2 linked regions of the Macaca fascicularis genome follow. The protein of the gene in region 1 interacts with the protein of each later gene in a biochemical or structural test. Links are inferred from orthologs where the notes say so. Each region holds a gene or a part of one and is shown in the gene's direction. Other genes may lie near its edges.

What was found.
Region 2: the proteins of PJA1 (region 1) and NSMCE3 form a complex in vitro, tested with the Homo sapiens proteins (2 studies listed by BioGRID). The link is inferred for Macaca fascicularis from reciprocal best matches to the Homo sapiens genes PJA1 and NSMCE3.

Annotation. Positions count from the first base shown.
Region 1 is NC_088395.1:75,889,674-75,905,721, reverse strand, and holds PJA1 (E3 ubiquitin-protein ligase Praja-1), read left to right. Parts: upstream 1-8,183; 5' UTR 8,184-8,287; intron 8,288-10,210; 5' UTR 10,211-10,434; coding exon 10,435-12,369; 3' UTR 12,370-12,809; downstream 12,810-16,048. UniProt on the Homo sapiens protein: Has E2-dependent E3 ubiquitin-protein ligase activity. Ubiquitinates MAGED1 antigen leading to its subsequent degradation by proteasome. May be involved in protein sorting.
Region 2 is NC_088381.1:8,201,428-8,216,863, forward strand, and holds NSMCE3 (non-structural maintenance of chromosomes element 3 homolog), read left to right. Parts: upstream 1-7,118; 5' UTR 7,119-7,232; coding exon 7,233-8,132; 3' UTR 8,133-8,782; downstream 8,783-15,436. UniProt on the Homo sapiens protein: Component of the SMC5-SMC6 complex, a complex involved in repair of DNA double-strand breaks by homologous recombination. The complex may promote sister chromatid homologous recombination by recruiting the SMC1-SMC3 cohesin complex to double-strand breaks.

The DNA of each region.
Region 1 (16,048 bases):
CAACAACAACAACAAAAACTGGAAAGTAGAATTGCTGGCAGGATTGACCTTTATACCAAAAGTCTTATTAGAGGTATATCATTATGTCATTTATTGGTGATCAAATAAATAATTCTCTGAGAAGATAGAACAATCTCAAACCTACAATGCCCCCTATGTGCTTTTAAAACATATATAGATGCTATTGTAATATACATACCCTCTTACAACTCACTTTTTGCATTCAATATTGATTTCTAGATTTATCCCTTCTGATACAACTAGCATTAGAGTCTGCATCTTAGCTGTGTTACAGTAGGTCTTCCACCGTCACAACTATTCATTTCCCTTTTGATAAATGTTTAGGTTCATTCTAGTTTTTTGCTATTCAAAACAACACTGTGATGTAAGGAATATAATGGCACATATTTCATTTCAATCATGTGCAAGTATATCTGTAAGCAAATTCCTAGAAGTAGAATTTTTGGGCCAAAAAGTATGTGCATTAGTAATTTGATAGCTATTGCCAACTTGCTGACTACAGAGGCTCTAACTACCAAGTACCCTCACCCTACCACCAGCAATGTTGAAGGGTGCCTGCCTGTGGCTCCACACCTTCAACAACAGTGTTTATCAAACTTTCTCTCATTGCTCAGTCTGATGGGTGAAATCATATTCCATTTTATTTGTATCATTGAGCTTGAACGTCTTCTCACATGTTGAAATACCATTTGTATTTCCTTTCTAATAAAATGTTTATTGGTATCCTTTGCTCATGTTAAAATTGGTTTGTTGGCCTTTTATTGATTTATAGGAACTCTTCATGTATTTGGGAAATTAGTCCTTTATGCAATTAGCAGCAAATATTTAATTGAAATGGGGTCTTGCTATGTTGTCTAAGCTGGTCTTGAACTCCTGGCTTCAAGTTGTCAAGGTGAGCCACTGTGCCTGGCACTTCATTTTTCTTTTATTTTACTTAGAATTGTTTATTTTTTGCTGGCCAGAAGATTTTTTTGATGTAGTTGAAACTTTTCTCTTTCTCTCTCTTTTTTTCTCTTGTATATTTCATCGAACTTACAAAGGTCTTCTCCATTCCAGGATTATAAAAAAAACATTCTCCCATGGTTTATTTTAACTGCTTTTAAAATTTCATATTTCCATTTAAAGAAAACTCCGACTATGAGAAGATAGTTGCAATGGTACAAATACAGCTGACATCTGGTATTCAGAATATATAAAGAACTCCTAGAAATCAATAACCATAAAAACAACCCCAGTAGAAACACGGACAAAAGATATGACCAAGCAATTCAGAGAAGAGATCTAAATGGTCAACAACTGTGAAAGGATGCTTAACTTCTCTAGTAATTCAGGGAAAAGCAAAGCCAGTGTTCCATACTCATCAAATTGGCAACAGTTTTAAAGCTTATATCAAGAGTGGTGAGGATCTGGCGAATACTCACCAAAAGCAGAGATGTGAATAAACTTCAGGTGAAAATGTGATTGTTATAACCATTTTGGAAAACAGATTGGGAATATTTATTAAGGTTGAAATGCTCCAACATCCTCCTGCCCCCATGATGCCTCATGATGGCCTCCTCCTGCCCCCATGCATGCTCTTGGGTAATCTCCTCCCATTGAATGTGGGTTAGGCCTAGTAACTCACCTTTAATAAATAGAATGTGGCAAAAGTATTATGATGTCACTTCTAGGAATTGCCTTGCAAGAAATGTTAAAAGAGGTTCTTCAGAGAGAAGAAAAATAATATTGGTTAGAAATATGAATCTACGTAAAGAAAGGAAGAACATTGAAATGGAAATAAATTAAGGTATAAATAAAATAAAATATTTTGTTTTTCTTGTTACTAATTGATCTAATAACAGCTTGTTCAAAATAATAGTATCAATATGTTGAATGATTATAGTATATATACTAATGAAACGAATGACAGAAATGATTATTAAATCTGTTATAAGAGACTGAAGGAAGGAATTGGAAATAGTATGTTACAAGGTGCCTGCACTATTCATGAGAAGTTATAGTGTTATTTAAAAGTGAACTTGGACTAGTTGTAAATGTATATTGTAAGCTCTAATCACTAAAAAAGTAAAAATAAAAAGTAAACTTAATATGCTAAGAGAGGAGAGAATAAAATGCTTAATTAAAATCAGAGAAGCTGGGTGCAGTGGTTCATGCCTGTAATCCCAGCACTTTGGGAGGTGAGGTGGGAGGATCGCTTGAGCCCAGGAGTTCCAGACCAGCCTGGGCAATATAGGGAGGCCTCATCTCTACAAAAAAAGTTAAAAAGTTAGCTGAGCATGGTGGTGTGTGCCTGCAGTCCCAGCTACTCAGGAGGCTGAGGTGGGAGGATTACTTGAGTCTGGGAGGCAAGGCTGCAGTGAGCTGACATCACACCACTGTACCCCAGTCTGAGTGACACAGTGAGACTCTATCTCAAAAAAACAAAAAGACAAACAAAACAAAACAAAACAAAAAAAGCTGAACATGGTGGCTCACACCTGTAATCCAGCGCTTTGGGAGGCCAAGGTGGGTGGATCACCTGAGGTCAGGAGTTCAACACTAGCCTGGGCAACATGGTGAAACCCTCCTCTCTACTAAAAAAATACAAAAATTACCTGGGTGTGGTGGTGGGCACCTGTAATCCCCGCTACTCAGGAGGTGAAGGCAGGAGAACCGCTTGAACCTAGGAGGTGGAGGTTGCAGTGAGCCGAGATTGAGCCACTGCACTCCAGCCTGGGTGACAGAGCAAGACTCCATCAACAAGAAAAAAAAAAAAAAAGAGCAAGGGCATCAAATAGGGAATAGTTACAAGTACTACAAGTGTGGTAGATATTAATCCAACTATATCAGTAATCACTTTAAATGTGAATGATCTAAATGCACCAATTAAAAGAGACTATCAGAATGGATTTTAAAAACAAGACTTAACTATATGTTATCTTCATGAAACCAACTGTATAAAGACAGAGATAAACTAAAAGTAAAGGGATTCAGAAATATATACCATACTAACAGTAATCAAAAGAAAGCCAGATTAGCTATGTTAATTTCAGACACAGCAGATTTTAGAACAAGGAAAATTATTAGGGACAAATAGGGGTGTTATGTAATGAAAAAGGAGTCAGTTCTCCAAGAAGACGTAACAATCTTCAATGTGTATGTGCCTAACAACAGAGCATCAAAATATATGAGTCAAAAACTGATAGGACTTCAAGAAAAAATAGATGAATTCATAATTATAGTTGGAGACTTCAACACCACTCTATCACTAATTGACAGATCCAGCAGGCAGAAAATCAGTAAAGATATAGTTGAACTGAATAGCACCATCAATCAACTGGATCTAATGGACATTTATAGATAACTTCATCCAACAAAAGCAGAATACACATTCTTTTCAAGCTCACATTGGACATTCACCAAGATTGACTACATCCTGGGCCATTAAACATGCCTCAACAAATTTAAAAGAATAGACACTATACAAAGTATCCTCTCAGACCGCAATGAAATTGAATTAGGAATCAATAAAAGAATGATAGCTGGAAAATCATATAGTATTTGGAGATTAAACAATACACTTTCAAATAAAACATGGGTTAGAGAAGAAGTGTCAAGATAAATGTTAAAGTATTTTGAGATAATTTACCAAAATATGTGGGATGCAGCAAAAGCAGTGCTTACAGGGAAATTTGTAGCATTGAATGCATACATTAGAAAATAAGAAAGACCTTAAATAAATCACCCAAGCTTCCATCTTAGGAAACTAGAAAATAAAAGAGTAAATTCAGTCCAAAGTAAGTAGAAAGAAACAGGCAATAAAATTAAAACAGGAATCAATGAAATTGAAAACAGAACAATAGTAGAGAAAAAATAATACAATCAAAAGCTGGTTCTTTGAAAAGGTCAACAAGATTGAGAAACCTATAGCCAGACTAACCAAGAAAAAAAGAGAGTAAACAGAGTTACTCATATCAGAAATTACAGAGGAGCCATTGCGACTGACCTCATGGACATTAAAAGGATAATACAAAGTATTATGAACAACTCTATGGCCACAAATTTGGTAACTTAGATAAAATGAACAAATTCCATGGCTTGTTTTTAATGAATAAGATATGGCAAAAGTGATGGGCTCTCACTGCATCTTTCCTCTTGGGATCTCTCTCTCCCTCTCTCCAGCTACCATGCTGTGAGGAGACTTAGGAAGCCTACGGATAGGTCCACATGACGAGGAAACAAAGTCTGACAACAGTCACATGAATTAGCTTAGAAATGGGTCTTCTTTGGCCTGTCGACAACCATGTAAAAGAGCCTGGAAGTGGACCTCTTACCCTACTTGAGCCTTCAAATGAGACTGCAACCCTAGATGAGAGGTTGGGTGCAACCTCATAAGAAGCTTTGAGCCAGAGGCACCTAACTAAGCCATGCCTGGATTCCAGACCCATGGAAACCGTGATATGATAAATGTTTGTTGTTTTTAGCTGCTATGTTTTAGGGAAATTTGTTATACAGCAATAGATAACTACAACATACTCTTTGACCAAGAAATTCTATTTCAGTGTTTCTATACTGGAGCAATTTATTTCAATCCTTTTCACATCAGAACATATATTTAAAATGCTAATATTGTGTCAGCTCATTGGAATAAACAGACAGTGTGCTCTTGGCCAGAGGCAACAGTCCCTAGGGGCAGCTGCTGAAGCCAGAGCTACCTTCCTGTAGATCTAAGGGGATCAATATATCAGAACACTTATAACTCAGTTGGGAAGCTCTGCCCTGAAGAAACTCTTCTATGTAGGCACAAGGAGCCATGCACTAGGATGTTCATTGAAATCCTCACTTATAATTGCACAAAACAGAAACAGTAGGAAAAGAGATAAATTAGATAACTTATGCAAAAGAAGGCCATACAATAATACGTTATAGTAATATATTGGATAATTGATACAGTAATATTCAGCAGTTAAAATGCATGACTTAGATCTACAGGTATCAAAATTGCTGAGTTTCAAAAATCAATAGAGTGAAAATCTAAGTTGCAAAAGTATATATTTATAATGATACCATTTGCATAATTTAAATACATGAAAAAAATTGTGTATTGGTCACAGATATATATATATCTATAAATATATACTACATATATGCACAGATATATATATACACATCTGTAAATATATACTACATATATGCATATATGTATATATATACACATACACATACATATACACATATACATATATACACATCTATCTATACATAGATATATATATATATACACACACAAACATGAACAAGACGAGAGCACATCAACTTCCAAATAAGGCTTATTTTCAAGAGAGAGGTCAAGTGAATAGGATGAAGTGAGAGCTTCAACTGTACTATTTTGTTTCAAAAACAGAAGGATCTGAGGATCTGGAGAAAATAAAATTTGCGCAATCCATGTGACAGGTGCATTCAAATGTGTATTTTGTATTCTACTTTTCTGTATAGTTGACATATTTAAAAATATTTTATAAAGAAAATGTATCCTCTCTTGAGTCCAAAAATACATATACAAGCTGGGCACAGTGACTCAAGCCTGTAACTCCAGCATGTTGGGAGACCGATGCAGGTGGATCGCTTGAGGTCAGGAGTTTGAGACCAGCCTGGTCAACATGGTGAAATCCCATCTCTGCCAAAAAATACAAAAACTAGCTGGGTGTGGTGGTGAGCACCTGCAGTCCTAGCAACTCAGGAGGCTGAGGCAGGAGAATTGCTTGAACTTGGGAGGTGGAGGTTGCAGTGAGCCAAGATTGCACCACTGTACTCCAGCCTGGGTGACAGAGCAAGACTCTGTCTCAAAAAAACAGAAAACAAAAATACATATACATTCAGTATATTGTATTGTCCCATTTCCTCATATCATTATTTATTTTGCAGTCTATTTGATTTATCTATACCATAAGAAATGAGGTGAAGTTTCCCACTATAATTGCAGACTTCCTGATCTCTCTTTATATTTCTAACAGTATTTGTTTTATATATTTTGAAACTATGTTGTTTGGCACATAAATTTTTGTGACTATCATATTTTTTTTAAAAAAATGCGTTGTTCTGCAACATGCTTTTTTCACTTAATATATTTATATTAGATCAGTATGTATATACTTGCCTTATTTCCTTTCTTCTTCTTTTTCTCTTTCTTTCTTTCTTTCTTTCTTTCTTTCTTTCTTTCTTTCTTTCTTTCTTTCTTTCTTTCTTTCTTTCTTTTTTTGAGACGGGGTCTGAGTCTATTTTCTAGGCTGGATTGCAGTGGCGCAATCTTAGCTCACTGCAGCCTCAACCTCCTGGGCTCAAGTGATTCTCCCACCTCAGCCTCCCAAGTGGCTGGGACTATAGGCATGTGCCATTGTGCCAAGGAAATTTTTACATTTTTTTGCAGAGATGGGGTTTCACCATATTGTCCAGGCTGGTCTGAAACTCCTGGGCTCAAGCAATCCTCCTGCCTTGGTCTCCCAAAGTGCTGTGATTACAGGTGTCAGCCACCATGTCTGTACATGAGCCACCAAGCAACATGTTTAAGTAAATTTAAGCAATTTATTTGTTGAGGAGAATTAAAGTGGTTTGCATTATCTTGCTACACTCCTATTCACATATCTTTCTCCACTTGTGTGTCTCAATAGAACACACAACAGAGAAGTTGACTAGAAGTAGAATTGCTAGATGAAAATGTATCTCAAAAAAAAAAAAAAGAAAGAAAATGTATCTCCATTTAAAAAATTGATAGCTTCAGATTTCTCGCCAATGAAGTTCAATTATTATTATCATTATTATTATCATCATTATTTTGAGACAGCATCTTGCTTGGTTGTCCAGGCTGGAGTGCAGTGGCGTGATCTCCACTCACTTCAGTCTCAACCTCCTGGGCTCACACAATCCTCCTGCCTCAGCCTCCTAAGTAGTTGGGACTACAGGCACACACCATCAGCTTGTCGTATCTTTCTGAGTGAATAAAACAACCTGTTTTGTTCTCTTTAGTGCTTTTTACTCTGAGTTCTCGATGTTTAGGATATTGATGTTGTTACGAGTTTCTTTCCTCCTTCCTTTTCTTTCTTTTTTTTTTTTTTTGCTTCTTTCTTTCCCTCATTCCCTCCCTCCCTTCCTTTTTTTCTGCTAGTATTTTACTGTCATATATATATTTTTTCTATTTCTGCTTTAGGTGAAACTCACAGAAATAGTATATAACTTGACTTTTAAAAACAAAATCCTCAAAATAAGAGTTTGGTTTTTATTAGGAGATGTTAACCCATAATGCATGCTGATATATTTAGATTCCTGCGTTTTTGTTTACTTTTTGCATCCTTTTTTTTGCACACCCCCAGCAACATTTCTTGACCTTTGTTCAGAATGAGTTTTTCTCTTTGTTCCACATATTATTACTTTAATGGTTTGAAAGTTATACATTCTATTTCTATTATGTTGCTACCCCTAAGATTTTTGTTCTCTTGTGCATTTTGTTTCCAGTAAGAACAAAACTTTGCTACTGTTGTGAACATAGGAAATGTTTACATTGGCTGTAAATATTAGAGTTCCATTATAAAGCGCAATTTAAAGACTTCAGAATTCAGTAAAATGGTATAAATCCAAAAGGCATAACTGTAATATGTTTTAACTGCAATGCAATACCAGAATATGAACCTGTGTTGTGTCTTATGATCTCTTGAATAGAGAAGCTTGGTTTTGTGATTAGCAGCAACAAATTCAACACTAAACAGCTTCAGTTTGCTTTAACAATAAGGTTAAAAAAATTTAAGCTTACTGCAACCCTAAATATAGTTTCACAGGTTTAATACTTTCGGTACAACCATAACACGTAACATAGGATGTGATGTAGTAACGTAATTACTCTCACATTGGACTTAATCAGAAAGAATTTGCAGATTTTATTTTATTAAAAAAAAACACAGAAGGGAATATAGCTAAATATTTAACATTAGTTAAAGCTGGGTGTTCGTGACATTTTTCGCTGTCCTTTGCTGTATCCTTGACGATTTCATCATTTAAGATGAAATAATGCTTTCGGGCCCACCCTGATTTGTGGAAAGCAGCTGCCGCCCCCGCCACATCAAGGGGGCGGGCTCCAGCTGACTTCACAATCACTTCCGCCGCCGCAGTCGCCACCCGCCCCGCTGCTGTCTGGCGGGGGAGGAGCTCGAGACCGGGAGCAGCGGCTCTGGCGGTCGTGGCGGTCGGAGGTCCGAGAGCTCTGCTTCTCTGAAAAGCGTGTGGCTTTCTGGACTTGGTGAGTGAAAGGCTGATTGTTTCCTCGATTCATCCGGGCGCTGGCGGTGGCGCGAGTGGTCGGGCGCAGTGCGAGTGGCCGGGCACGGGGACGAGGATTTTGCGGGGTTCCTGGGAACTGCTTTTCAGGTTCGCCCCTCGGGAAGGGGTGGGGCGGACGCGGGACCTGACTGCAGAGTGAGGCCCATGTTCTACATCGGCCTGTTCTGGGGCCGCATCCTCCGCTGCCGGGAACCCCTTTCGTGTGGCGCGGTCCCCACTCGAGTGGCTTTCATCGCTATTGGGAGGGTAGTGGTGGTCGCGGCCCTCTCCCACTTCTCCCTGCCTCTCCTCCCCTCTCCTTCCTTCTTCCTTCCTCGGCCCCTTTGCGGAGCACTCCGTGGCCTTTCTTCCCATATTTTGCTGTTGTTTTGCCAAATGGTAAATGGTTAAGATTTTTAGGTAAAAATACTGTTCCCAGGGAAAAAATTGTAAGGAGGAAAAAATAATTATTCTCAGGGAAAACTAGACCCACGCACGCCCTTTTCTTTCATTTTGCCTCTTCCCTGCTACATCGGTTTGGGTCTCCCGTTTGAGCTGATGGCCTTTTCCCACCTCTTATTATGACATTGCGTACCCCCTACCCCACACCCCTCCGTGTCTCGCGAGCACGCGCCCCCGCAGAGAAGCTTTCCATTGCAGCCCCCTCCTTGCCCCTCCATCCTCAAGGTTCCAGTGCGTCTTCTCTCCCGCGCATGCGCAGGCACACGCAGCACACACCCTCTCACACACCCTCTCACACACCCTCTCACACACCCTCACACCCTCACATCCTCCCATGCCTTCCCCCTCCTCTATCCGCCTACCACATACACACCTCTAGCACCGGCCCCCTCCCTGCTCGGTCTCTGCGTGCTCTCGCGAACACATGCCTATTCACACACCCCCTCAGGCTGCTCTCCTTCTTCCTTCCTGTCATATACACACATAAGGACATCCTTCTATTGCTGGCCAGTGACATGCATATACAGCCACATGTGCTCATTCATACCCCCTCCTCAAATGCTCTCCTCTATTGATCTCTCTGCCACGTGTGTCAGACACAGCTCTTTCGCTGGTCCCTGAGGTGCACACACACACTCACATAAATCCTTCTATGGGGACACCACCTGCTTCCCTGCTTGCCATATCCACACAGGCAGGCATCGTTCTTTGATTGCCGGCCTCTGTTCCATCCACCTCAAGCGCATCCGTCTCCAGTGCTGCGCCACTCCCGACCCCCGCTTCCGTTTGTGCCTGCTGCATTTGCTCACACTGACATTTCTCCATTGTTGCCTCCCATTTTGACTAACATACGCACACACAAACTCTCAGACACTCCTCTCCATTGCCAACCATACACTCCCCTGCCTGTGACATACACATAAACATGGGCATCCTTCTGTAGTTTCAGCTGCCACACATACAGCGACACACATAAACACCTTCCCTTTCCTCATACATACACACACCCCTCTCCTCCAAAGCCACCCCACCCATGCCTGTCATTTTCATACCCACATCCAGAATCATTCTAACACTCATACCCTTTCCCCCTACAAACATAAACATCCCTCTGTTGCAGGATTGCTGGTCCCCTTCCACCTGTCCCTCTCCTCTTGATAGACACATAGGCACTTGTGCGCACACAGCGATCTGTATTTTCCACTCTATTCCAATTTGCATTTCTCCTGTATGTTTGCAGCACTCAGAAAAAGGCAGACACCCCATAAAAAGAAAACTACAGCAGTCTTTCCTTTCCCCACATTGGCACAATTCTACAGTACTTCACCCACCTTCCAAGTGTCCGGTCACCCCCCATCTTCCGTCAGATTCTCCCCTAAGTCTGGCTTTCCTGCAAACCCAGTCTTGTAATCATTTTGCCAACATTAAAAATGTGTTCCAGGTCTACACCTGTCACTGGAATGCTACTCCAGGCCTTAGAAGAAAGTGAAACTAAATTTAAAGGCCCCTTATTCTTTCAGTTACCTGCCTGCTGAAGTGAAAATAAATCTCCCTGCTCCTTTATTCTAAACTGATTTTACTTTCCCATCTGAAAAACGTGTGCAGGGAGCAGGAATCTTCCTGCCCCAGCCCCAGCTGTATTGAAAACCCTCCTAAGTCAGAGTGATGGGTCAGGAATCTAGCAAGCCTGTATGGCCCAATCCAACAGGAGGGTATCAGTCCAATACAGGTAGGAGGTATGGAAGAAGGCATGCTTATGTCAGTTTCAGGCCACCCACGAGCCAGCGGGAAAGGATTGCCAGCCAGAGAAAGACGAACTCCAAAGTCCCAATGCACAGATCAGCCTCCAGTCAAACCACCAAGAGGAGCCGATCGCCATTTTCCACTACTCGTCGTAGTTGGGACGACAGCGAGAGTTCGGGAACCAACCTAAATATTGATAATGAGGACTATTCCAGGTATCCGCCAAGAGAGTACAGAGCTTCGGGTAGCAGAAGAGGAATGACCTATGGACATATTGACTCTTATGGGGCAGATGATAGTGAGGAGGAGGGGGCTGGGCCTGTTGAGCGACCGCCAGCGAGAGGAAAAACTGGCAAGTTTAAAGATGATAAGCTGTATGACCCAGAGAAAGGGGCAAGGTCTTTGGCTGGGCCACCTCCACAGTTCTCTAGTTTTAGCCGTGATGTGAGAGAGGAGCGAGACAAGTTAGACCCAGTCCCTGCAGCAAGATGCTCAGCTAGCAGAGCTGACTTCCTGCCACAAAGTAGTGTGGCCTCACAGTCGTCTTCTGCTGAAGGCAAGGTGGCTACAAAAGGTGACAGCTTGGAGAGGGAGAAAAGGGAGCAAAATTTACCTGCACGTCCCAGCAGGGCTCCTGTGAGTATTTGTGGTGGTGGGGAAAACACCTCAAAGAGTGCAGAGGAACCTGTGGTCAGGCCCAAAATCAGAAACCTGGCAAGTCCAAACTGCGTGAAACCCAAAATTTTTTTTGATACTGATGATGATGATGATATGCCACACAGTACTTCCAGGTGGAGGGATACTGCCAATGACAATGAAGGCCACTCAGATGGCCCAGCAAGAAGAGGCAGAGGCGAGAGTTCAAGTGGCTATTCTGAGCCAAAGTACCCTGAAGACAAACGGGAAGTGAGGAGTGACCAAGTGAAACCAGAAAAGGTGCCGAGACGACGACACACCATGGCCGACCCTGACTTCTGGACGCACAGTGATGATTACTACAAATACTGCGAGGAAGACTCTGACAGTGACAAAGAGTGGATTGCTGCTCTGCGTCGGAAATATCGAAGCCGAGAGCAAGCCCTGTCCTCCAGTGGCGAAAGCTGGGAGACTCTGCCGGGGAAAGAAGAGCGGGAACCTCCACAGGCTAAGGTGAGTGCCAGCACTGGCGCCAGCCCCGGCCCCGGTGCTAGTGCCAGTGCCGGGGCTGGCGCTGGGGCCAGTGCTGGCAGCAATGGCAACAATTACCTTGAAGAAGTTCGAGAACCATCTCTTCAGGAAGAGCAGGCATCCCTGGAAGAAGGAGAAATTCCTTGGCTCCAGTACAATGAGAATGAGAGTAGCAGTGAGGGGGATAATGATTCTGGTCATGAGTTGATGCAGCCTGGGGTATTCATGCTGGATGGGAACAACAACCTTGAAGATGACTCCAGTGTGAGCGAAGACCTAGAAGTGGATTGGAGCCTCTTTGATGGATTTGCAGATGGGTTAGGAGTGGCTGAAGCCATTTCCTATGTGGATCCTCAGTTCCTCACCTACATGGCACTTGAAGAACGCCTGGCCCAGGCAATGGAAACTGCCCTTGCACACTTGGAGTCTCTTGCAGTGGATGTGGAGGTGGCCAATCCACCAGCAAGCAAGGAGAGCATTGACGCTCTTCCCGAGATCCTGGTCACTGAAGATCATGGCGCAGTTGGTCAGGAGATGTGCTGCCCCATCTGCTGTAGCGAATATGTGAAGGGGGAGGTGGCAACTGAGCTGCCATGCCACCACTATTTCCACAAGCCGTGTGTGTCCATCTGGCTTCAGAAGTCAGGCACCTGCCCTGTGTGCCGCTGCATGTTCCCTCCCCCACTCTAAAGACCAAGGTTGTTTACTCCTGGTCTGATTATTTTCCCCATCTGAAATCCACAATACTGCAGGAGCCCTCTTGAAATTAACAATGGAAACAAAACCAGTCAGTCAGTTAGCCTAAACCTATTGATTCCTCGTGATTATTTCCAATGTGAAAACAGTTGTGTATGATTGCATTAAAAATCATATCATCTTTTAGAGGTTAGAAAAGGGAAAACTAAACTTTATAAATGCTACTTGAGATTGCAGTAAGAACATACGTTTTCTAACCTGAAAGTTAAATCGCATTTGTTTTCTTCAGTAGAATGTGTTGCTGTTACTTGTAATGTCAAGTGTATCTGTTAAATATGTCCAAAAGGCAAAATCATTTTTGTTGCATGTTATGGGTCGATGTTCCTGTAATTGCAGTGCTGTAAAAGCTTATTAAAGTTTTTCTTTTGGTTTTACATGGTGTAATGGAATTCTTTGGTTTTGTCTGAAACAGTGGTACTGAATGACTTTATAATTGATCCCTTGCATTTGCATCAAAAACTTTAGTTTCACTGGAAATGCTGACTTCAACAATCGCAAAAAAAAAAAAAAAAAAAAATGAGGGCAGTGACTTTAAAAGTAGGAATAAAGTGTATGGTTGTCCAGCTACTACAGGGAAAAAGTCAAATAGATGAAGAAGGAAGAAAACAAAGAAGGAAAGAGAGAAACAATAAGAAAGCATGGTAAAGAAACAAAACAATGGCAGGATTAAGTCCAAACTGAATGTAGGGATGAATGAGTTGAAATCACCTTTGAGAAAATAGAAACTCTCAGAGGGAATGGGTCCAAAAAAATAAAGCTATATGCGAATTTTATAGCTTAACACAGTGACACAGATAGGAATAGAAAAAATATGCCACACAAGTGCTACAGGAAAATACAGGTACTCACCTACACAGAGTGAACAGGTTTTAACATTTGGCTATATTTGCTTCAGAGATGTGTCTCTCTCTCTCTCTCTTTCTCTCTCTCTCTCCCGCCACCCCTCTCTTCTCTCTTTCTCTCTCCAATAAATATATATTTTTTAAGCACAGGTGAAGTTCCTCAGCCCATAATATTTACCTTCTTTCTTACACAGAGGTAAGAAACACACCAGAAAATGGTGTGTTTACTTCTTGTGTGTGTCTTTAGACATATATATGAGTGTGTGTATGTATGTATATGTGTGTATATATTCATAATCAAATACAGTATTAATGTTTTTTAAATGGATATAATTGATAGACTATATATATCATTTTGCAACTTGAATTTTACGCTCAACAGTGTTTTGGAGACTTAGCCATTCCGATATATGTGGATCTAGTTCATGCAGTTTTAACTGCTGTATACAAAATATTAATTGTATGAATTACCACACCTTATTTATCCATTTCCCTACTGGTGAACACTTAGGTTCTTCCCAGCATTTTGCGGCAATGAACATACTAAACAGATGTCCTTTTGTGCACATGTGTGAAGTTCTCTAGAGGTAAGTATATGGAAGTGAAATTTCTGGGTTCTAGGGTTTGAGCATCTTCACCCCAACTAGATATTGCCAAATTGCTTTCCAAAGTCATTGTACTTGTTCATGCTCCTACTGACAGTTTCTGAGTGCTATTTCCGCACATCTCCAACAGGCTGGATGTTGTTCAAGTTCAACCTGACTCATAATCGGTGACATGTAAATTAACACACCGATGAAACATATTACATCTATCAGAAGCCAATAGCTTTTCTTCATGATAATATCTAGTTTGGGCTAGGAAGAGATGAAATGAAAAGACTCATGGGGTTGGTGTGCATATAAACTATAGCGGTCTTCTTGGAGAACAGTTTGGGTAGTAGCTATCTATCAGCATATTCAATTGGTGCGTGCACTTCAGCCCAACCTGGGTTCCTTGCTAGTATGGAATTAAAACTATGCAGCAGTTAAAAGTTGGATGTACTGATACGAAAAGATCTCCAAGACAGTGTTATGAAAGCATAGTGTAGAGTAATATGTACAGTGTTTGTGTAAAATAAAACCTTACAAAACCAAACTTTATATGAAAATGCCTAAGAATGTCTGGAAGGCGACATGCCTAACTGATGGCAGGGGTTACCTCTAGGGAGGGACGGAGGATTGGGGGAAAGCAGTCAGGAAGGAGGCTTTTGTCTTTCACCTGAAATAATGAATTTGCTTCATATTTTTTACAGTGTCAGTGCATTTTCATGAATATTATTACAACAAAATAAGCAAAATCAAAAAATTTTCCAATTAGGAAAAGCAGGATGTTATTCTTCTCTCACTGCAAGTACAGAAATGTGGGTTGAAACTGCAGCTCTTTTTTCTGCAACTGGTCAAGCTGATATTTATGACTTCATCCCTCACAAGTCATTCTAGGTTTCCCCTTGGCCTTCAGCCAGCACCTCAGCTGGTTATGGAGGCTCAGGAGTCTGAGTCCTTGGAGAGCCCTTTTAGGGTGGGGTTTTGGAGGTTTACCATTAACCTTTGCTGTGCTCTGACTGGCACCACCTAAGGAGGTGTTTTAGGAGCACGCTTGGGTCCTAATCATCTTCCTTTCTGTTGCTATTGCATAGCAGTGACCCTAATTTGCCTTTTAGTCAGAATTAGTCTCTGCACAGAAACAGAAAGGGACACTTACCCAGTGCTCAAAGCCCCCTGCTGGTGTGTTGGAGCAACCTGCTACTGCAGTGTCTTGGTGGACTTGAGGCGTGCTCTACCAGGAAAGCCCACAGGCCCCAGGACCTGTACTCCTGGGGCCCTGAGTAGCTGTGACTTGGACCTGGGACATGAACTAAGCCCATCATACACTCGTGCCCAGTACTTTAAGGCTGGAGGGAGAAAGTCAGAGAAGCAGGGATCCTGAAGCATTTGTCCCCATGCTGCTGTGGTGATGATGGTGGTGGCAGCAGGGGCGGCAGCAGCAGTGGTACAGGGTGGCAGTGATGTGGGTCCCGTGCTGACAGTGCTGGCAGCCAATAGCTCCTATGGCAGGATGTGGCTGTGTGCTTGGCTGCCCAGTTCCTTTGCTCTTGCCAGTTTCTGATTCTCCAGCCTCTCTGACAATTCCCCAATCTCCTCTATAGCTTTCCAATAAAACTTTTCGGATTCAACTAAACTAGCATTGGTTTCTGTTGTTTGTAACTAGGAACCCCAAGTACTTGCCAATACCATATCCCACTTTTGTGGCTGTTTTCCTCATCATATGAGATATTTCACATGGCCAAGGGTCAGGCAATTTCTGTTTATGATGCAGTGGACCTGTCATTGGCACCCAGGGCCATGGTTTTAGAACAGCAGGCCTCAGGGGCCTCCAGACATGAAGCAGTCATTTATGAAAATAAGTTGTTTGGGTATTCATTGAAGGTATCACCCACTACACTTTACTTCTGGGTTTCTGGTCTTGTTTTCTGGCTGTGAAATAAAAAACCCCGGATTTGGTCAATCATTTGAGGCATAAAGCACTACATCTTGCAAGAGAGCACTGTAACTTCCTGAGGTGGTCTCCCCAGCTGGCACTACAGCTGAACCATTAGAAGGCTCTTACTGTGCCCTAAGGCCCTACCCTTCTCTTAGCCCTTTGTTTCAGTGAAACCCTTCCATGGAAGTGCCTAGGGATCTCTGACCTGAAGTGTCCTTTCCAGCTCTGTTTAAATTTTATTCATCCTT
Region 2 (15,436 bases), on another chromosome or scaffold:
CGGCTCACTGCACGCTCCACCTCTCGGGTTCAAGCGACTCCTGCCTCAGCCTCCCGAGTCGCTGGGACTACAGGCACCCGCCACCAGGCCTGGCTAATTTTTGTAATTTTAGTAGAGATGGGGTTCTGTCATGTTGGCCAGGCTCGTCTGAAACTCCTGACCTCAAGTGATCCGCCCGCCCCGGCCTCCCAAAGTACCAGGATTACAGGCGTGAGCCACTGTGCCTGGCCCATATATACTTTCCATATGGAAAAGCACAGCTCTTCATAATTTGTCTCTCCCTTACCCCTGTTGCCACCAATTCAAACGATGAGCTCATTCCCCAACCACAGAACACTGGGAAGAAACATAACAAAAATGTCACATTGTTTTCAATTCACCTCTCATTATATTCAAAACTCCTCATTATTAACCTTCCCTAGCTCCAAAGTCTCATTTCTTACTACCCTCTTTTCCCCTGAATAATAGGATTGGCTACTGATTCAGCCAGACCTTGTTCACTTTCAAGTGACAGGAACCAACTCAAAGCAGATGAAGCAAAAGGAGATGCTCTAGTAATTCATTATCTCCAGGAGTCTGATCTTGAACTCAGCATCCAGGGATTCAAATGGCAGCATGAAGATTGTTTCCCCATGTCCTAGATCTCTTTTGAGTTGGCTTCGCCCTGAGGCAAGTTTTTCAGAAGCAAGGGCCCAGGTGGCTAGGCTTACATCACCCCTCAGCTTGTTAGCTCAGAGGAGCGAGAATATCTATCTGAATATCCTGGAAGGATGCTGACTGAACTTCTGAACCAGTCACTGTGTCTGGCCTGAATCCTGTGCACTCAGGAAAGGAAGGCAGAGCCCTATACTAAGGTCTCTTAAAGGTGGGAAGAGGCCGTTCCTACAGGGAAAGGATACAGAACAGAGGGGTTAGAAACCAAGCAAACAAGAGAATCTTAGTGACCACTATCAAGACCGTGGATGTTTGTAATTTTATAACTTAGTAGGCCCTAATGATTTTCCTAAGTAAAGGGCCCTGGATATCTGGAAGACACATTTCTTGAAAAGAGAGTCTAAGACCAGGCTTCTGGGCAAATGGCTGCAATGCTTGGAAAGCACTATCTTATGAAGGCCCGCCTCTCCACTCGCTTCCACCAGCCAAGGAAAACTCCGTTGCTGCTTCATCAAAATACACATTTACGAGGGACAAAGTGTTATTAGGTAGTCTACCATGTGATCTAAGCAGGCGGGATCTTTGCTAAGAATGAATATATATAACTGTTGTAAATGTGTGGACACAAGGGACTTTATTGCAACCATTAAGATGTCTGGATCGCTTTTCCTGCTGTCTACCCACCAAAATAGTATTTGCCTCCCAGCTCCCTTGCTCACATGCTGCACATTGGCCCACTTTCTTCCACTGGAAAAGGCAGAGAACAGCTCATATGTGGTGGCTGCATGCTTTGATCATTGCCTTTCTTCTTAAAAAGTCCTCACCTGCTTTTAGCACTGTGTTGCTGTCAGAAAAATTAAAGCGTTTTTCTGATTCACGAGAAATACCATGAATGAAGAGGAGAATCTAGTAGATAATAAAGATGATTAGAGTTTCTTGGCAGGCATTTGCTATCGAAAAGACAAAACATTTAATTACTCTAAACATCTAAAGAGCAATTTGTAGTAGGCATTTCCTTGTCCTTTGCACTTGAAATCTTAGCTAGCTTAGCTTTTGCCTCAAAGAATTTTGATTTTTTCTTTTGGGTCTAGTAATAAAAGCATGAAGGTCATTAACATAAAGTGTTTGAAAATGTTTTTCTTTTTTAACCACTTGTCTTTGTGACTTCACTGCCTGAACAGAAAGTCACAAATGCCATATTCAAATCACACTGAATTTATTGAACATGTGAATGTGCATAGCTGCTATGGCATAGTGTCACTTTGAAGTGACACTTCATTGAAAATATATTTTTCATTCATCTCCCAAGCAAGAAAATCAGGGTTGATTTTGATTTTTAAAAGCAAATTAACTTTAATAGCACCTTGATAGATGTATTTCTTTTCAGCCCTTTTGATTTTTGTGTACATGTGTTTTGCTGCAGTGAACATCTTTCTCATCGTTCTACTGAAAGATGGCAGAATATGCCCAGAATATGCCACTTTGGCATAAGGATTACTTTGAGCTAAAGGCACTTGAAAAACAGCAGATGCAAGAAGGCCATTTGAATTCCCTCTTTTCTTCCTGAAAACAGGAGATAAAAAACTCTCATGTGAAAAATAGCTTTACTGTACCAAGAGGAAAGAAACATTACTCAATGCGGAGTCAAAGCCAAGTGAATTCTGTACAAACAACTTTGTTAAAATAATTATCTCCCTTTATCCTCCCCACATAATTTACTTTTCCCACAGTTACCTCTCTTTGTTCAACCAAATGTAAAAGCATTTAGGTTTTGCCACTTCTTTGGGTCTTCATTTCCCTAACGAGCGCTCCACCCCCCACCCTCGAAGGGTCCCAGCTGGACCTGAGACTTAAATGGACGTAAAATAGATTAACAGGAGAAAAGCATTCAAATTTCATTTAAGTTTTACAGGACATGTCCCTTCAAGGGTGGAGGGAAGGTTTTGTCTCCCCTGCAGTATATACAACTTTGTGTAGTCCTCAACTATTTTCCTTAACAGAAATCCCTGGAAAGAAGGAGACTGTTATCCAACTACCCTGCCAGGCCCTGTGCTAGGTACTGGGTAAATCTATCTCACTTAATCTTGATGCCAGGATTAGGCCTCATTTTGTTGACTTGGAGACTGAAGCGTGGAGGTGTGTCAGTAGCTCTGCCAGTATCATACAGGTTTCTAATGTTAGTTCATCTGATCCAAAAGCCCTTACTTTTTCAAGGGCTTTTTTGTTTGCTGTGAATCAGTATACAGTTAAAAGCTCAGTCTCTGGAGGCAGATTGGCTGTGTTCAGATCCCAGACCTACCACTTACTTGCTGTAGACCCTCAAAACTTCACAATTTTCTCCTGTGCCCGTTTGTGAGAAGAGAAACATAATAAATGCACATGCCTCATAGGTTTGTTGTGGGGATTAAATGAAGTCATACCTGTAAACTACCTGGAATAAGGTCTGACCCACCGTTCACTTTGTCTAGTAGTCCCCCCTTATCTGTGGAGGATGTGTTGCAAGACCCTCAGTGGATGCCTGAAATCATGGACACACAATTAGGTACATTGTGTACCCTAAGTACACAATGTTTTCCCCTATACATAGATACATACTGTATTAGGCAGGGTTCTCTAGAAGGACAGAATTAATAGGATAGATATATATATAAAGGGGAGTTTATTAAGGAGTATTGACTCACATGATCACAGGGTGAAGCCCCAACAATAGGCTGTCTGCAAGCTGAGGAGCAAGGAAGCCAGTCCGAGTCCCAAAACCTCAAAAATAGGGAGTCCAACAGTGCAGCCTTCAGTCTGTGGCTGAAGACCCTTGAGCCCCTGGCAAACCACTAGTGTAAGTCCAAGAATCCAAAAGCCAAAGAACTTGGAGTCTGATGTTCAAGGGCAGGAGGCATCCAGCATGGGAGAAAGATGAAGACCAGAAGACTCAGCAGGTCAAGTCCTTCCACGTTCTTCTGCCTGCTTTATTCTAGCCGCGCTGGCAGCTGATTAGATGGTGCCCACCCAGATTGAGGGTGGGTCTGCCTCTCTCAGTCCACTGACTCAAATGTTAATCTCCTTTGACAACACCCTCACAGACACACCCAGGAATAATACTTTGCTTCCTTCAATCCAATCAAGTTGACACTCAACATTAATCGTTACATGAACCTATGATAAAATTTAATTTAGGCCAGGAGCGGTGGCTCACGCCTGTAATCCTAGCACTTTGGGAGGCTGAGGGATGGATCACTTGAGGTCAGGAGTTCGAGACCAGCCTGGCTAAAATGGTGAAACCCCATCTCTATTAAAAATACAAAAAAATTAGCTAGGCATGGTGGTACACACCTGTAATCCTAGCTACTCAGGAGGCTGAGATGGGAGGATCTCTTGAACGTGGGAAGCGGAGGTTGCACTGAGCCAAGATCGTGACACTGCACTCCAGTGCAGTGGCATAAGAGTGCGACTCCATCTCAAAAAAAAAAAAAAAAAAAAAAAAGGTTTCATTTATAAATTAGTCACAGTAGAGATTAACAATAATTAATGAGAAACAAAAATGAAAACTTAAGCCCTCCAGCTGACTGAACAGACCCCTTCTTGACCAAGGGGACCCCAGAATAACCTTGGAAACCCTCTCCCGCTCTAAATGCCATTCGGCTTTCTTCCCTAAGCGCTAAACAGAAATCAGCCCTTCAAGACTCCACCGCTGGTATCAACCAGCCACCTGATGCTGCCCCTCCCTTTTGGAGTTTTGGCACAACTGCCCAGCAGTTCTTCCTGGTAAAAGACTACCAACCATGGAGTAGTTAGGGCCAGTCTATGGAAGACATGCAGTCAGGGTTTTCATGTCCTCTGCTTCACCTTCTGATATCAGAGGGTCCGAAAACTCCTACCCTGGATCATGCTAACACTGCCAGTTTTGGAATATGGGTCCCATGGAGAGGCATGAAGTGCAGTTGCGCATGTGCACGTTTCTCCTTGCGTAAATATTCATGACTCCTCCTATAGCTTATTAAATATGTATACTTGGCCACCCCACTCTGCATAGATTCGTGCTCCCTTTGCCCCTCCATTGAAGTGTCTGTTTCTGGCTTCTAGCATGAGGTTTTGCTTCCCAGGCTGTTGGAATGGCCACCCCGCAGACTGCAACCCTCTTTGAGAAATAAAGCTCTTTCCAAATTTATGAACCTCATCATCCTTCAGTTGACACTAACAATAAAGTAGAAAAAATATAATATAGTGTAATAAGTTATATTGTGATTTCTCTCTGAAAATATCTTAATATTTTCAGACTGTTGACTGCAGGCAACTGAAACCAAAGAAAGTGAAACTGCAGACATGGAGATGGAGCAGCAACTACTATATAATCATTGACTGTTGTCGTTTATATTATTGTTACTAATGTTAGTATTGTTTTCACCAGTTTCTCCCCAAACATCCATAGCTTCCAGTATTAATCCAAGGTGGAATGTGGGTCTTCTTCTCCATGCAGAAGAATGTGGGACTTCTCCATGCAGGGCCTAAACTTCATTCTAATACTAACGCTAATACTAATACTAATACTAATTCTAATACTAATTCTAATACTCTTATTTTATGGGTGCATTTTCTCACCTGCATTCCTCTGGACAGAGCGTAGAGAGATGTTTTCAGACTTACAAACTGGCATCTCTTCTCCTCTATTTTGAGTAATGACAGTCTGCTGTCTAGGTAAGAGTGCTGCTAGAGGACACTGCTGATTTTCACAGTCATGGGGGTAGCCTGATTGGTGGACTGCTTGGTGACGTAAGTGAATACCTTAGCAAGAAACAGCATTGAAAAACCAGCCCAGTTGTTGACAATAGCTTTTATTTAATTTTCCACTTTCCCCTTATATCTTGGTCACCGAACTTTTTTGACTCAAGGTAGACCATCCACATCCTGTGGTAGGGACCTTTTGCAGAATTCTAGATGGCAGGAAGCTTTTATGAACCTAAGTCCAAATTTTAATTTGCAAGGAAACTGAAGCAGATGAATTTTCTCATTGTAAAAAAATGAATACCTTGATAATATATTTGTTTTTCGTAGTAGGCCTTTGTCATTAAGCTTGATGCCTGAGGATATAGTTGTATCTTGTGTGGAACAGTAAGTTATTACTCACTGCGTATCAGATTTTAGCATACTTGCATTAGTTCATGGAATATGATTTTACATTTACTATAGCAGTTCCAGTGCCATTATCAGATTGCATTTTCCTACTGAATTACAAACAAATGTGTTATGCTACTAACATTTAACAAAATTTTAATAAGGTTGTGTTTGATGCTATTATTCAGATAATGTGTTCTAAATTGCTTTCCTTTGAATATATTTGCATTAAAGAGGAACTCGATTTGGTTCTTTGAAGAGTTTATCCACTTTCTGGGTAGCTTTAAAAAGACACAGGGAAATTCAGTTTCTTCTTTGCAAGTCAATAAATAGAGAAGAAACAAATTTGCTAAGATCTGTAGAAGTAATGGCAGCAGATTGCTGATGGTTTGAGTTAATGAAATGACTCATTTTGGCTACTTGAGTTGCACAATTAAAATATACATAGACTGCACACATCATAGATGAGGGATAAATACCCCTGTGTTCTCTTTTCTTTCTCAAAGCTAATATATTATGAATTAAGAAATTTAAGAGATCCACATTATTGCAATTCTTGATCAGTGATGCCCAAAATTAAGTGGTAATCTCTTGAGAGTGCACGTTTGCAGCATTCCTCTTACGCATTTCTGCTAAAATTGTGGCTGTGAGCTGAAGGCAGTTGTTTTCCAAAGGATAAACTCATTTGACCAAGCTAAAACATTTACTTAATATTGACAAATTTTGTGGGGTTTTCTCATAGTTGTCTAGCTAAAGGAGTTTAATGCAGAGAATACACATACGGAAATAGTGAAACCGAAGTCCTGCTTGCGCGGAAAGCCTGCAGCAGACTTTTGTTTTTAACAAACTCCACGGGGCATTAGAGAAAGTAACTGGGGGCAGTGGGTTGGAGGGTATAAAATTGAGCGGAGGGACGAAAACTAAGAGCCCTCTGGGTTTTTTATATCCTTCTACATGTTGTGTAGAAATAAATGCTTTTACTTCCACGGTCGTACCTTCCTCTTCACCTTTTTTTTTTTCTTTCTCACACATTCATCCTGTGAGATCTTTTCATTTACAAATGCTCCCGATTTAGAATTAGAAACTCATAATACCGTCTGTAAAACTTGCCTGAGCCTGTCTGGTCCTGAATTTAGCGACACACTTGTTTAGGAGTTTCGGTTCTCGTTCTCTGCTTGCATGGTTTAGTAAGAACAACACTTCGCTATACTGAAATTCACCGACCAGACCTGCAGGGCTGCACAGAAATCTCGGATGCTTTTGGTACCCCCAGCCCCGCAGCCGCGCAGGCGCACCGCCCAGCCGCCGTGACGCAAGGCGCAGGCTTCATGACGCGGCACGCAGTCTCAGCCGACACTGCGCGCCCCTTCTGGGGCCCCGCCCAGGCAGCGGCCTTAGCGGGTCGCCGACCCGCGATCCCAGCCGCGGCTGCTTGCTTGCCGGAGTGTGCACCGGTACGCGTCGCCGGTGACATGTTGCAAAAACCGAGGAACCGGGGTCGCTCTGGCGGCCAGGCCGAGAGGGACAGCGACTGGAGCCGTGGCGGAAACTCCGGGGCCTCGCGGGCGGGCGAACACGCCCGGGCCCGCAGAGACGGCTTCGCAGAGGAGGCCCCGAGCACTTCCCGGGGGCCGGGCGGCTCGCAGGGGTCGCAGGGCGCCCGCCGGTCCCAGGCCTCCCCCGCCGTGGGCCCCAGGACCCAGAAGCAGCAGGAGCTGAAAGTGTCCGAGCTGGTGCAGTTCTTACTGATTAAGGACCAGAAGAAGATTCCGATCAAGCGGGCCGACATACTGAAGCACGTCATCGGGGACTACAAGGACATCTTCCCCGACCTCCTCAAACGGGCCGCCGAGCGCCTCCAGTACGTCTTCGGTTATAAGCTGGTGGAACTTGAACCCAAGAGCAACACTTACATCCTCATCAACACCCTGGAGCCGGTGGAGGAGGATGCCGAGGTGAGGGGTGACCAAGGCACGCCCACTACGGGCCTCCTGATGATCGTCCTGGGGCTCATCTTTATGAAGGGCAACACCGTCAAGGAGACTGAAGTCTGGGACTTTCTGCGGCGCTTAGGGGTCTACCCCACCAAGAAGCATTTCATTTTCGGAGATCCAAAGAAACTCATTACCGAGGACTTTGTGCGACAACGTTACCTGGAATACCGGCGGATACCCCACACCGACCCCGTGGACTACGAGTTCCAGTGGGGCCCGCGAACCAACCTGGAAACCAGCAAGATGAAAGTTCTTAAGTTTGTGGCCAAAGTCCATAATCAAGACCCCAAGGACTGGCCAGCGCAGTACTGTGAGGCGTTGGCAGATGAGGAGAACAGGGCCAGACCTCAGCCCAGTGGCTCAGCCCCATCCTCTTGAAATCTGAGGTGGATTCAGAGGGACCCCCGGGACAAGGGTCTGAGACCCAAAGGCACAGTGCAGAGGAGCGGGGGAAGGGAGAACGAACCCAGGAAGCGTATTTCTGTAGCGTTTCAATGTGTGTAGCTTTAGGATGTGTTTGCAAAGTTTTGTTCTTTTAATGTTGTGTTATTTGGTTCCAGATTTTCATCTATAAACAAAGGAGCATTTGTTTTGCTTTGATTTTACTTTTTTTGGTATAAAAAATTTTCCTAGCTTAGTAAAACGAATTGGAAAACTTGACTATGATCTGAAACAGATATGCCAGAAGGAACACATAAGTAAGTTGCTTTGGTGCCAAGAAAATAAAAAAGTAGCTATTATCGGGTCTCTTAAGCATCCCAGTTTGTAAGGAAAAATAAAAGTCTTTATAAAATTAAAAATAAAAACGTAATTGCCTATATCCTTATTACCTTAACCTATTTTATTTTTTCTATATTTCCTACATATGTAAGTATTATTCATGGTTCCAAGCAATGAACGTGGTGTATTTTCTCCAAATAGCAATTGTTTATATTCATAATTACTCAGCTGTGTTGCTAAACATGCAGTTCCACTTAGTTTTTTTTACATGCTACTCTAGTTATTACAATAAATACTGTATTTTTGAAGCACTGAAGCATTGTGTGTTTTTTAAATCGTGGGCCATGAGACAATTTCATGACGAAATCAGCGTCTTAAAGTTTTTGCAACATATTGAGGTCAATGTTGTTTTGTAGAAGTTGTTTTACTTTTGTGTGTGTGTGTACAGGATCATGAGGTAAAATATATTTCTACTGTGGATACCAAAAAGGCTTATAAAACAATAGCGTAACCATTAACCATGCCTGCTTGGGAATCAGACTGCCTGGGTTCAGATCCTGGCCCCACCGTCACTAGTATAGGAATTTACGTAGGTTCCTTAGTTTGTATGCAGATGTTTCTTGACCTGTAAAATGGGTTTAGTCCCTGATGTGGAGGAATTTGCTTGTTATTCTTTAATGTTTTTATTTTTTATTCTCGGTCTGGAGCTGCCACTTTTTAAATACAACTTTTCTTTATCTTGTTTTCCAAATGATTCCTAGGAGAGCAATTACTGGTTCAAAAGGTATATTCCGCTAGTCTGACTCTATTGTATGGGGAAATAAGTATAAAGTGTATGGTGAGTATAGCCCACATAGAACAGTGAGAGCAGGACATAAGATCAACCTCGTAGGGAGTTAGGTATAGGGAAAAGGTGTGGGTCTTGGGGCTGTCTGGCAAACTGAATTTGAATTACGGCTCATGCTAACTTGTCAGCATGGTGATATGGTGGTAGGTTTTAAGCTGTCTGAATCTCAGTTTCTTTACCTGTAAAATGAAAAAAAATTATAGCTATATAATAGTTTGTTTTATGGACTAGATGAACTAGAAGAGTTCATAGTCCCATTGTATTCCTCCATTACATGTAGCAGATGCTGTTTTTAATGCAGAGATTCAACACGTTTTATTCAGTGGGTAAATAAGTATAATTGTTTTAGGGGGAGGTGCTGCAAATTAACCTTGAAATAAGGCAGATATTTTTCACTCGGGGGGGAAAAAGTGAACTTCATCAACACTGGACTGAATGTCATTTAAAAGAGTCTATAGTGAGTATGGAGGAATGTGATAGGTTGCTGGGTTTTATTTCATTCTGTTGAATTGGGATTTGCCTTTGTTTCATCAGTGGAAGATGTTTGGTCCTTATAGGCATTTCTTCTTGATCTGCATTTTATTTCAGTGTATAAATTGCTTCCTGCCTCCTGGTCCTGTGACCTCCCTGACTCAGCTTTCTCCTCCTCGTGCCCTCTGATACTCACATTCTCACCTGTATAATAAAAATTGTTACCCTGCAGTCACCACCGGTTATATCTGAGGCAAAATTCCCTCCGCTTTTCTCAGAGGTGTTAACAATTTACCATCGATAATCTTGTTTCAAATTTTAAAATATGAAACATAAGAGGCCACATCAAGGCCTTATATCTTTTCCTTCTCACCCTCCCCAGAGATAACAAAAGTCTGCGGCTATCGGGCTGTTGTATGACTGTATAATTTTACTACACATGTATAGATACATAACCAATATAGAGTTTTATTTTGTGGGCTTTCATGATTTATATAAACGGTATTACGTGTGTCCTTATGCAACTTGCTGTTCTCACTCACCATTATGTATTTGAGATTCAGCCATGTGGATATATATAGACCTGATTCACTCATTTTAATTGTTCTTTTATGGGGGAAAAATAACTTTATCCATTCCTTAATGGCTAGACAGTTAAGGTCTTTCCAGTTCTTTGAGATTTGCAGGCATTGTACAGTACTTCTTTAGGCACATGTGTGAGTTTCTCCAGCCAGAAACAAATGGAGCAATCAGGGACTATTGCCAAACTGTTCTTGAGCTTGTGTCAAGTTACACTCCTACCAACATTTTACACAGTTTTGTTTTGTTTTTGTTGCCAATCCCTCAACCTTCACCCACTGTGAACACTTGGCCTTTTCAATATCTTTTCAGCCATTTTGGTGTAGTGTGAAATAATCATTTATTACGGTATTAACTTGTACCTGTTGCTTACTAGTGATGTTAAGTATCTGCCTATCTTTTACTCTCACTCTTTTTGACTGTCAGGTTTCATGTCTTAGACACATTTCTATTGATTTGTAAGACATCTTTATATGTTCTACATGTTAATCCATGGTCTGCTCTATCTATCTAGTGCAAATACCTTCTCCCACATTTTCACTTCTTTTGGTCATACAGATCATTTGACCTTAATGTGTAACAATCATCAGTGTTTATAAGAGCTACATTTGTGTATAGTGCTTTAAAAAATTCCCCTAATCCTAAAATTGTAAAGATGTTTTCTGCATTTTTCCCCTAAGTTCAAAGTTTTGATCTGCACATTTTATGCTTTTAATCTGCTTTTGTGTATGATGTGAGGCATGGAAATAGTTTTTGTGTTTTTTCCTATATGGATAGCCTAGCACCAATTTTTCATCATTTATTCTTTTCACACTGATTTATGACACTCAGTATTCTATAGCAATGTCCCATCTATAGATAAGTTTATGGATAGGACTGAATTGGTTTCTTTGCTATCCATCTGCAAATACCATACTATAATTCTTAATTTTTTTTTTTTTTTTTTTTTTTTTGAGACAGAGTCTCACTCTTGTCGCCCATGCTGGGGTGCAGTGACTCTATCTTGGCTCACTGCAACCTCTGCCTCCTGGATTCAAGCGATTCTCCTGCCTCAGCCTCCTGAGTACTGGGATTACAGGCACCTGCCACCACACCTGGCTAATTTTTGTACTTTTGGTAGAGACAGGGTTTTGCCACGTTGGCCAGGGTGGTCTGGAACCTGACCTTAGGTGATCCGCCCGCCTCGGCCTCCTCAAGTGCTGGGATTACAGGCATGAGCCACCATGCCCAGCCTATAATTCTTTAGCATCGTATGTGTCTTCTTTTTCGATTCTTAAAGCCTTTTAGTCTTTTTTGCATTGGCTGAAAGTGCAATATCTTATTGAAAAGAAGCAGTTACAGCAGGCTGTAAAGATGTTTCTGATTCCTTATTCTTGATTTTAAAGGAAATAATGTTTAACTTTTGCCATAGAGTGTGATGTTTGCTGTTAGAGTTTTTTTCCCCTATAAATACCTTTTACTGAGCTATTTATTTACCCCTTCAGTCCTAGCTTGCTTAGAGATGTTTAGAAAAACTACGAATGACTTTAGATTTATATATGCTCTTTATTCACCTGCTAATATGATTAAAATTTCTTATTTACTCTGTAAATTTGTTTTTTGGGCATATAATTTGGTATAATAACACATAGAGTTTTCTGATATCTAAACATTCTTGCATTTTGGAGCCAAACACTTGTTGATAAAATTTTTAAATACATATAGCTCAAAATATATAATTTTGCATCTTTTGACATAAGGGGGTTTAGTCTTTAATTTTCATATGTTATCATTATTTTTGAGGTTATGCTAATTTACTTAGAGATAACCTTAAATTTACAGAAAAGTTGCAAGCCCAATGCAAAATAATTTGTTCCCTGAACTATTTAGTTATGATTCTTTAGTCTCCTTCCTATCCAATATTTCCTCAGTCTTTCCTTGACCATCATGACCTTCACTTGAAGAATACAGGCCTGTTTTCTGTAGAACATCCTTCAGCTGGGGTTTGTCTGCTGTTTCTTCATGATCGGATTTGAATTATGCATCTTTGGGAAGAATATCACAGAAGCAATGCTGTGTTATTTTTGGATCCTATCAGGTGGCACAAAATTTCAATTTGTCCTGTTATTTTGAAACTTTGATCACTTTGGTTAAGGTGTCATGTGCCTCCACTGCGAAGTTTTCTCCTTTAAGGTAAATAACTTGGGGGGAGATACTTTGAGACTTTGTGTAGACCCATGGGTCTCTTATCATTAACTTATTATCTAATCTTTTATTATCATTACATATTCCGATACTCAAATTGTCCCTGATTTGGCCAGTGGGAGCCCCTTAAAGCTGGCTTTTGCATCTTTAACATGCCCCCAACATCATTTATTGAGCATTTCCTTACTTGATAGCACCAAAAGAGAGGGAGTTCTGTCTTTTTTTTTTAGACGGAGTTCCGCTCGGATTGGTGCGACCTCGGCTCACTGCAATCTCCACCTCCTGGGTTCAAGCGATTCTCCTGCCTCAGCCTCCAGAGTAGCTGGGACTACAGGTGCCCACCACCACACCCAGCTAATTTTTTGTGTTTTTAGTAGAGATGGGGATTTCACCGTGTTAGCCAGGATGGTCTCCATCTCCTGACCTCGTGATCCGCCCGCTTCGGCCTCCCAAAGTGCTAGGATTATAGGTGTGAGCCACCGTGCTTGGCCAGGAGTTCAGTCTTAACTCTCCCTGCCCTAGACCTGGAATTAATCCTTTCCCTAAAGAGCTCTGGTTTCTTTTTGTGGAGAATGGAATTGAGAAACAAAGTTGCATTTTTAGTAGAGACAGGGTTTCACCACCTGACCATGATGGTCTCTATCTCTTGACCTCGTGATCCTCCCGCCTCGGCCTCCCAAAGTGCTGGGATTCCAGGTGTGAGGTGGCGTGTGCCTGTAGTCCCAGCTACTTGGGAGGCCGAGGCAGGAAAATCCCTTGAACCTAGGAGGTGGAGGTTGCAGTGAGCCGAGATTGTGCCACTGCCCTCCAGCCTGGTGACAGAGCGAGACTCAAAAAAAAAAGAAACAAGGTTGCTAGGTTCGCTCATGCCTACTGGGAATATCATTGCTCCCAGCCCTCTAGGTGACGAAATTATAGGATATCTATCTATCAGTCATCTACACAGCACTGAAGACTATGAGATTACATTATACTGCCATTTGCAATACAGCACCACCGTGTGTATTCTGGTTTGAGAAACTCAGCACCTATTATCTTTGCCATATTTCCTTATTTGATTAATTCACCTTGTAAATAACCAATCCACTATCCTCGCTGCCACTCCGTCCCACATGGGTGCGCTTAGCTTCCCACCTGGGCTGCGATGTCCCACATTACTGGCTTGTCTGTGCAGTCACCCTTCTCCCGTTGCTAGAGCTTTCACCCCACTCAGGTGACCTTGGCCTCTCCCAGGACATGGAACTTGTTCTGTCCCACTTAACGGCTATTGCACTGAATTGTTCAAGAAATAGAAAACCTGTGGTCTTATAAATGCGTTGGGGAACTTGCCTTTTGCCCTATTATCGGAAGATTAGATGTTTTCGAAAGTTTGAAACAAATCTACCCGTGAAAGGCTGTGGGCCTGCTGTTTTTTTGTGGGTAGAGTTTTACTGATATTTTTCTCAAGATTATGTTCAGGTTTTTTTGTTCTTTTGAAATTGGTTTTGGTCACTTATATTTTCTAGAAGATGTTTTCATATATTTTCTGATATAATTAGCAGAAAGCATTTCTTAGTATTGTCCTTTGTGCAGTGAGCTGAGATCACACCATTGCACTCCAGCCTGGGTGACAATGCGAGACTCCATCTCTAAATAAATAAATAAATAATAAAAAATGGTGATTCATCTGTGCCATGAAGTATTAGGCAATTGTAGAAGGGAATAGGGTTATTTGTATGTTCTTATAGCGAGATCTTCACTATATTAAGTGCAAAAAAAGTAAGTGAAGAAAATGTATGTATTATGCTGCTGTTATATAGTTTTATTAAAAAAAGATGGAAGGATAAAATATAAAATTAAAAAATAAATGCTTATCTATTAAAAAATAGAAGGGAGGAAATAGAGTGGAGGAACAGAATAAAGGCTAGACTTATGTGAAACTTCACTTATAGACCTGACTTTAGAATAATTTTATATAATTATAAATGAAACTCAGTTTTAGAAACAATTCCTAAACAAGAAAAAATGAAATAAAAGGAACTAACCTGGGTTCCTGATCAGTAGCATAACCACACATAAAGGAACCATGTGAGTTTAAAACACCATAATTTGACTATTTCTGGTAGAATGTACTGTAAGAATAAAAAGAAATATAAATCTTAAACTATTTTCAGTCATTTTTTTTGGCAGTTGTATTGGCGTTGTTATTTTGAGACTTGCGTGGATATTGTGAAATTAAATCCAACAGATTAATTATATTAAGAATAGTTTTTGGGGCCGGGCGCGGTGGCTCAAGCCTGTAATCCCAGCACTTTGGGAGGCCGAGGCGGGCGGATCACAAGGTCAGGAGATCGAGACCATGGTGAAACCCCGTCTCTACTAAAAATAGAAAAAATTAGCCGGGCACAGTGGCGGGCGCCTGTAGTCCCAGCTAATCGGGAGGCTGAGGCCGGAGAATGGCGTGAACCCGGGAGTCGGAGCTTGCAGTGAGCCGAGATTGTGCCACTGCACTCTAGCCTGGGGGACAGCGCGAGACTCCGTCTCAAAAAAAAAAAAAAAAAAAAAAAAAAAAAAAAAAGAATAGTTTTTGGCATGGTTGAAAGGAGATACAGATGTAAAATTAATATGGTTACGTAAAACCTTATAGTTTTGTTTGCAGTTTTTTTGTTATGTATGACTATATTTATTTTAAATTTTAGATTCAGGAGGTACATGTGCAGGTTTGTTACTTGAGTATGTTGCGTGATGCTAAAGTTTAGGCTTCTAATAATCCCATCACCCAGTTAGTGAGCACAGTAGGTGGTGTTTCAGCTCTTCCCCTCAACCCCCGGTTGGAGTCCTTAGTGCCTGTTGTCCCCATCTTTGTGTCTGTGTGTCCCCAAAGTTTAGCTCCCACCCTGTA